Tribolium castaneum: one gene and its partner. The protein of the gene in region 1 interacts with the protein of each later gene in a pairwise test. Links are inferred from orthologs where the notes say so. Each region holds a gene or a part of one and is shown on either strand. Other genes may lie near its edges.

Region 1 (4,168 bases):
TGATATGTGGCAACGTTGTCTAACAGTCATGATCGCAATTCAGAAATAAAATTAACTAGACGCCCTCTGGTGTTGACTTTTGAACTATGTCGAAAACAGTAAAAATTCCACATTTAACTGACATTTAATGAATTGTTCAACAATTTTGCGTGTATAGTGTTAATTACTTACAATAGAAAGAATCACTTTAAAAGTACGTGGTGGTAAAAACTAGCTTTGACTTTGGTTCTGTCGTTTTTCGTGGTATAAAGTGTTTATTGTTGGAACTTGAAAGTGGATAAAAAGTGAAAAATATTTAAATTTTGATTACAAAGTGTTATCAAACAGTTGTCTAATTAAAGATTATAAGTAATGGATCACAGCGAACACAAAGTTTGGCTCAAGAAACCAATAAATTAGTGAAGTGTGTGAATTTTAGGTTAGAATTTTCCACTGAAAAAATCATGAAATGCTGCGGTAAATCTACAAAACTACAATAAAGATTAACAACTGCTGATACATTTAAACGTAAATTATGCCAAAAGGTAGGCTTTTCAATGTCTTTGTAGTAATTTTCCAATAAAGAAAGTGAACCAAACAGTCATTCGTTATTCGTGTTTTCCTCGTCATCTCTCATTTGTCAACAGAAGTTTTTTGCATCAAAGATACAATAATCATTCCGCATAGGCAATGCAATAATTGTGAAGCCCCAAAATTCGTACAACGCTCAAAATATCCGAATAAACATTTTCCCGCCATTTATGGTTACTGTTTTCGACTTAGCTCAGTGGCGCCCCCAACGGTAATTTTACTTCCGAATAGAATTTGAGCAACAATAAAAATAAATCATTTTTGAAACGGTTTCCTAGGAAATAATTCCCAGTGTTGGCACATCTACACATTGTGATTTTTTGGCTAAATTTTAATTTTTTTAAATTAAAAAAACTGTTAAAGTCTGAAAGTACATTTAAAAATAATTATTCATCGTTTTGTTACGGAACGATTACCTGGTATGAAACATAAAAACATAAAAAATAATGAAAACTAAAGAAGTTAACACAATAAGTTTGCAGCTCCAGATTTTTTAAAATATGACTAGGAATTTTTTCAACATTTTTCCCGTAATCTGCACTTGCTTCTCAATAACGTACCACTGAGTTGGTGCGCCACTTTTTGAGCACCCTGTAGAGTAAAAATAGGTGGTTACCAACTAACATTTCAAAGTTTCCGCCAATTTCTCGTAGTTCTGGAAATTCAGTTATTTGGAAAATAATTTAGTTGAACTGAAATTGACTGGAATAATATACAAAATTTCAAATTTCTAGCTACATTAGAAGTTATAAAGTTTCTAATGTAGGGCCTAAAAGAATCATATGAAATGATATACAACCAATGTTACACACGTGCACACCATAAACTATATTTTGACCACTTCGGACTTTGAGAGGCTCTTTTATTTTTTATTCAAATTAGGTAATACTAGCATTTCCAAATAATTCATTAAAAAAAAATGTTTTGTTTTTCAGAAAAAACATAATTTGAAGGAAAAATCAATTAACGTTATTTAGCGTAAATTCTAATTATTATTATTATCTATGTTATGGTTATTTTGACGTGAAATCAGTGTGATAATACCACAACTTGTCTTGTGTTATGGGTAAGTTTCCCCTTTTCAGTGCTACATAACTCGAAAATCCCTCTTTCTTCCACTAGGTACTTTCACCCGGAAGCAAACATGATCTCAAACTTGAATGGAGCAACGTTGCCATTTGAAATGTTACACAATTCTGTGTTTTAAAGGGTCCCTCTGGAGCCCCCTCATACCTTCATCAATCAACGTTTGCAGACTCCTCCCGCCGAACCTAATACTCCTCTTCCAGTCCTTACTGGAGGCCCTTCCGCAGAGCGCCTCGAACTCGCTCGGCGTGTACCAACTGGAGCCCAACTTGATGCAGCGGCCTCTGCCCCCCGAGCCGAACCTGTTCTTGTGCAGCTCCGCCGAGGTGTTCTTGCACCTGACCGGCAGCACCGGCAGACTCGCCGCCTCGTTCCACGAGCCCAGGTTGGGCCCGGACACCGTCACCGGCGTGGAGACGGCCCCCGCCTCCGAGACGTCGCCCTGGATGACGATGGTCTTGAGCTCGGCCCCCGAGCCGTCGGTGGCGATGTAGCCGTTGTTGTCGACGCACAGCATCGGCTTGAAGTGGGGCAGCTGGTCCTGGGTGATGACGTTGAAGGTGCTGGTGATGAGCGAGCCCACCGGCAGGGACACCGGGACGCCCGCATGGCGCACCGAGACGGCGGAGACGCGCGCCTGCTTCACGTCCACGGAGGAGTCGCCATTCTCGCCGCCATCGTGCTCGCTCGCGAGCTGTTCGGCTTCGGAAATGTCCGGTAGGACGACGCCTTCCGAGTTTGAGTTCTCCATGGACGAAAACGCGGACACGACGACGTTTACCAAGGGTTTTTCGGAGGAAGCGGTCTCGAAGAGGTGGAGGAGTTTAACGGATTTACATGACGCCACTTGGGGTGATGACGATGACGGATGCACGGTTGGTTACTACACTTGCCGATATGCAGGCGGCGTGCAAGGGGCCGCGCATGCGCCGCGCCATTTTTGAATTTTACGCTCCGTTTTTCACAATGTAAGCGAATTTTAATTAAGACAATTAACCCATTTTACGACATTCCGTGAAAGAATTCAATCAAAATCAGCTTCAAAAACAAAGAAATTCAGATTCAAGCTGCAAATTTGTTACTGTTTATCCTTGATGGTGATTGGTGGTGGATATGTAAAGTGAAAGGTGCAAAAATTACGTAATTTTTAGATAAATATCTAATAAGTAATAATAACAATGAATAAATGAAAACAATAAGATTCAGAATTGTGGTTCTTTTATTAAAAAATTTATAAAAAATGCCAATTTTTCAAAAATCACTGCGAAGTCGCGTATGAATATTTTTCGATAAATTTGTAACAGAAAAACTCAGAATATCCCGTAGTTATAGCAGTAGTCGATTTTTACTTGAAACACGCAGGTAATGTACAGGGTGTGCCAAAACACAAAAAGTTGAATAACTCATTTTTTTCAAATGAAACACCATATATTTCTTTACACGCATCGATAGCATTTTTCATAAGCTTTCTAATGATATGCGGTTTGTATAGCAAATTTGAATATTTCTTAAAGTGTTAAAAAAATGTTCTTTTTTATTTATTTTATTATTAATTTTTGATGAGCAAAGTGAATTTATGTATCAAGTAATAATTAAAATACTAATGTAATTAATCACATTAGTATATATCAAAAAATAAATTACCATTTGACTTTTAAGATAACAAATTTTCTTGTACTAAAATGTTTTTTTTTTTTAAATCTCGAAAAATGTCTTAAATTTGCTATGCAAACCGTATACCATTAGAAACCTTATGCAAAATGCTATCGATATGTCTAAAAAATACATGGTGTTCCATTTGAAAAAAAAAATTGTTTAATTTTTTTAACATTTGTGAAGTAAAAGTCGACTATTTAGGTAAAACTGCAAGGTATTCTGAGTTTTTCTGTGGTAAATTTTCAGAAAATATTCATTGGCGACTTTGTAGTGATTTTTCAAAAATTGGTCTTTTTTATAACGAAAAGTTGAATAGTTTCGAAACGAAAACAGATAGACCTATAATAATTTATACAAAGTTACATTATTTTTTGTGTAGAATTTAATTATGCAAAAATATTTAGGGTGTTCTACTAAAAATAATATATCTTTTGTTCACCACACCTAGTGTATAATAAAAATATTTTTAGTTTATGTAATAAAAACGGTATGACTATATTTTAAATAGCAAAAAAATTATAGACCGGTAACACCGGCCACCCCTGGGTCACCCTGTATATGTAGTTAAATAAATACGTATTTAAACTTCTTCACCTCTACGAATTGAACGAAAACTTTAAATTTTTTTTAAAAAATACGAACCCATTGTTTACCTCAATAAAATATTAATTCTCTTTTCAACAAAAAATGTTAGGTATTATTAGCTATTTTATCGATAACATTGTAATATTGCCTGGACAAATCATTAATGAAAAAATTGTTTGGGATACTCCTACAAAGTATAAAAAATTTTATCACCATAGTCTTAAGTCTTAAGAGCTTTAGAAACGATTTCTTTACTCACAAATTCGTTACA
Region 2 (4,015 bases), on another chromosome or scaffold:
ATTTATATTTATATTTATATTTATATTTATATTTATATTTATATTTATATTTATATTTATATTTATATTTATATTTATATTTATATTTATATTTATATTTATATTTATATTTATAATTATAATTATATTTATTTACTTATATATTTATGTCCAAACCAAGATATTTTTTCGAAGTCCTTTCTCTCAAATAATGAGTCTTTAAGCATGATAACTATTTACGATGTATTACATTATCCAGGATTTTATTTATGCGAATTTTTTTACTCACTGGTCAGCTATAGTTTAATTTGCAGACCCACTTTTAGCACATTAATTTGGAAATAAAAGTTGTTATGTATAATTTTTTAACATGATTTTAAATTTTGACTTAAATTTTATCACAGCCTGTGCCAGATTATAATTTTTTGAACAATTGCTAAAATAAACTGCCTTTTGCAATCCTAAGAAAAAAAACCTTAAAAATTTGTTGGCGTTGCTCTTTTATGGTTTTATTATTGTTTTTGCTTCCACAATATATTTTTTTTAGTTTTATATGTTTTATAAATAATTATTGGACTTAACACTGTGTCACTCTAAAATTACGCTCAACTGTATCTGTAATTTTTGTAAATAATATCGTTTGCAAGACTTTATCCTTTGTTTGAAACTATTTATTTTCTGAGTTACGCTGTTGTCGCTATAAGGTTTAGAATTATCAATAAATTTTACTGAAAAAAATTCTTATTATGGTTAAGTAATTTAAAAACAGTAATCGATTTGTTGAAATAGAGACGTAACCATGGTTACAAAAAAACAAGTGTCATCGGAACAATAGACAATCATTGTTGCTAATTCGATAAAAATAAATATTATTATTTATTACGTCACGCATCATACGACATGAAAATGACGGCATCGTTCACTAATAACAATAAATGACGTGGCACTTCCTTATTTGCAAAAATCACCCGATTTGAGTGATTTTTCCCCCGAATGATAATACGTCAATGACGCAAAATTTATTAATAGCCCGAAAATCGGTGCGAATTTCGATCGATTGCAGCAATTGCTATTTATAGCGCAATTATGCAACAAAAATAATAACTCAGATAAGATGACCGATGACATAATATCGATAAATCGTCGTCATTGTTTCGATGTTCGTGCCATTTCATCGAATTTCCGCCGCATGCGTATGTCATTCGGTGTCGCGTCCGAGCGAGGGGAACAAAGATGGCTATGGCTCTATCCGCCATTTTCTAAAGTGAGATAGACTAAAGTGTTTTTCGTGAAAATAGCATGTTTGAGGCGGAAAAGCGCAATATTTCCGTGGAAAAGTGTTAAAATCCGGTCGAAGAACATAGTTTTGGGGCTGTGGCGATGCGTCGCATTGAAAATTAGTGTTTTTTCCGGTGTTGAAAATCGGCGTCTCTGTGGAAACAGCGCCGTGTGAGAGTAAAGGTAAATGGTTTTCTTTGTTACTTCTACACTTATTTCATTTCAACTTTATCAGCGTCTTTGTTGTAAAAAGAGATAAATTTGAGCGAGATGTGAGAGTTTTGAAATGCGACTGATTGACGGCGCTCTATGGCTAAATAGACATGTGGGGGGCGCATGCCGCGCCCAAGGGAACGGTTTGGGGGGTTTACCGGCATGGGGGGGTTCGGTTTTGCCGGTGTGGGCACTTTTCTGCACGAATTTAGGGGGTTTTGGTAGCGATGCCGGTATAGAATTTTGATTAATTTCAATTAATTTAATTAATCGAAACGTCGTTTTTTTGATTTATTGTAGTTATTTAGTCAGTCCAGTGCTAAAAAAACGGCCGGTGGGGGAGCTACGGGTCCGCGCTCCGAAGAAATCTACATATTTTGGTTTGAAACTTTGCTAAATTTTGTTTTTTCTTTAGTCTTTTTCACACCAAGAAATATTTTATACGCATAATAATAGTTATTTATTTTTTAATATAAAAATTTACTTGTGGATTATACAGGGTGTAACGAAAAGATGGGGATAATAGCTCAAAATTCAAAAATTATTTTCGATTTTCTTTAACAATTCTTAATGGAATTATGGTTTTAGATAAAATTTGGTATAAGTAATTTGCTATCAATACCAAAAAAAAAACAAAAAAGTCATTTTTTCACAAAGTTGTGAATTCTTAAAAGTCGTTCGATTTTTACCAAACACAAGTAATTAAAATAATGATTAAATAATCAAAAGAATTTTTAACGCTTCTACTATATATTTTTTATACGAAAAATAAGGCCGATATAAAAATTAATTATTTAAAATTAATGGGTCTTCGAATAAAAAATAATAATTACAATTACAACAATAATTTACAAACTACAGGGTGTTTCAAGTTTTATGGCAGAGGCAATAATAAATATTTCTAGTCTAGTAAAAAATTATTTTTCTAGTAAAAAAATATGTTTATAGTCTAAACGATAGGGTATCTTGGTTACGCTACTATTTTATACTTTGATTATGTTCAAAATTTTTAAGGTATTGCTGTAAACAAGTTTAAAAGAATATTTTTTCAGTTATTGGCGTATTTTCTGTATGATAATATTCCTTTAATTTTTATAACCGTAATTTTATCCGTACATTTTAATATTGGAAATTGGAAATTCTGACCTGATCACCAATTGCTACAAAGCCTGCCCATAAATTTTTCTACAGTCTGTTCCATCTAAACCCACATTAGAAATATTGAAAGTTTTAAAAGAGATATTTATTTGAAAGTTGGTACTCAGCTATAATCCGTTGAGTTCTGCTCAATGAAAATATTTTCAAGATGGTGGCACTTCCGGTTATACCGGAAGTCGCTATCAACTTTCTTATTTTAAATGGAAAGCTATGTTTTTCACTGCGTTTTTGGATTTGCTGAGTTATTTTAAGGCCGTTTTTATCAGCTTTCCCTATACCTAAGTTTAACCGTTTTCGAGATATTTAAGATTTTTGAAAAGTTTTGGATTTGCACCTGTCACTTAAAAAATCGGCAACTCTCTTAATTTTAGAGATTTCGAAATCATATTTGGAGAATTTAAAGAGAAAGCCCAAATCTGTTCTTCAGTGTGTTCAAAATTGGTAAAGAAGTTAATAAACCCAAAACTTCAAGTACCCATAACATAATTTTTTCAAATGGGATGCCCCAATTTTTATTTTACTAGATGGAGGAGAATTTTTTTCTGCATCGATCTGTATTAGCATTCCCTATACCTATGTGTGATAATTTTCAAGTTATGTCTGTTTTTTTGACATTGTAGAAATTTTCTTACTAACCACAGCTATTTTTGCATAGTTGACCGTAAAAATATTTCTGATTAAACAAACGACAAACTCTGTTCAAAATTGTGTTGTCCGTCCTGTAAGAACAAAATAAATTCATTGAATGTTGGTTTAAAAAACTTTAATTTCTCACATTTTTTCTCTCGTTTCCATGGCTACCTACGAGAAAAAGCCTACTGCTAATGAATTTCTCAATCCCAACAAAAAGTTATCGCAAGTTGAAAACTATTAAACATAAGTATAGGGAATGCTAATACAGATCGATGCAGAATTAAATTCTCTACGATTTAATGAAATAAAACGTGTGGCATTTCATTTGAAAAAATTGAGTTATGGGTGCTTAAAGTTCTGAAAACATAACTTTAAATATTTGGGGTTTGTTATTCTTTTTTAGAAATTTGAAAACGCCAAAGGAAAGATCTAGGCTTCCCCTTCCAAATGAGCTAAAAAATATTTCCAAATTTTTAAAAATGGCGAAGTTATCGATTTTTGAACTGGAAGGTGCAAATCCAAAAAAAAATTAAAAACCCGAAATATTTCGTAAACGGCTAAATTTAGGTATAGGGAAAGCTTATGAAAACTACCTTAAAATAACTCTAGTAATCCAAAAACGCATTAAAAAATATAGCTTTCCATTTAAAATAAGGAAGTTGATAGCGACTTCCGGTATAACCGGAAGTGCCACCATCTTGAAAATATTTTCATAGTGCAGGACCGAAGCGATTATGGTCGTGTACAAATTTTC

The links.
Region 2: the proteins of Deaf1 (region 1) and transcription factor Clamp interact in a two-hybrid assay, tested with the Drosophila melanogaster proteins (2 studies listed by BioGRID). The link is inferred for Tribolium castaneum from reciprocal best matches to the Drosophila melanogaster genes Deaf1 and Clamp.

The regions. Positions count from the first base shown.
Region 1 is NC_087394.1:24,926,977-24,931,144, forward strand, and holds the start of Deaf1 (deformed epidermal autoregulatory factor 1), read right to left. Parts: upstream 2,808-4,168; 5' UTR 2,408-2,807; coding exon 1,804-2,407; intron 1-1,803. UniProt on the Drosophila melanogaster protein: Transcription factor that binds the homeotic Deformed (Dfd) response element. High affinity binding sites contain at least 1 TTCG motif surrounded by additional TCG sequences.
Region 2 is NC_087401.1:13,233,148-13,237,162, forward strand, and holds the start of transcription factor Clamp, read left to right. Parts: upstream 1-1,173; 5' UTR 1,174-1,440; intron 1,441-4,015. UniProt on the Drosophila melanogaster protein: Transcription factor involved in X-chromosome dosage compensation in males, the process by which transcription of the single X chromosome in the male is elevated. Binds to the DNA sequence (GA)n.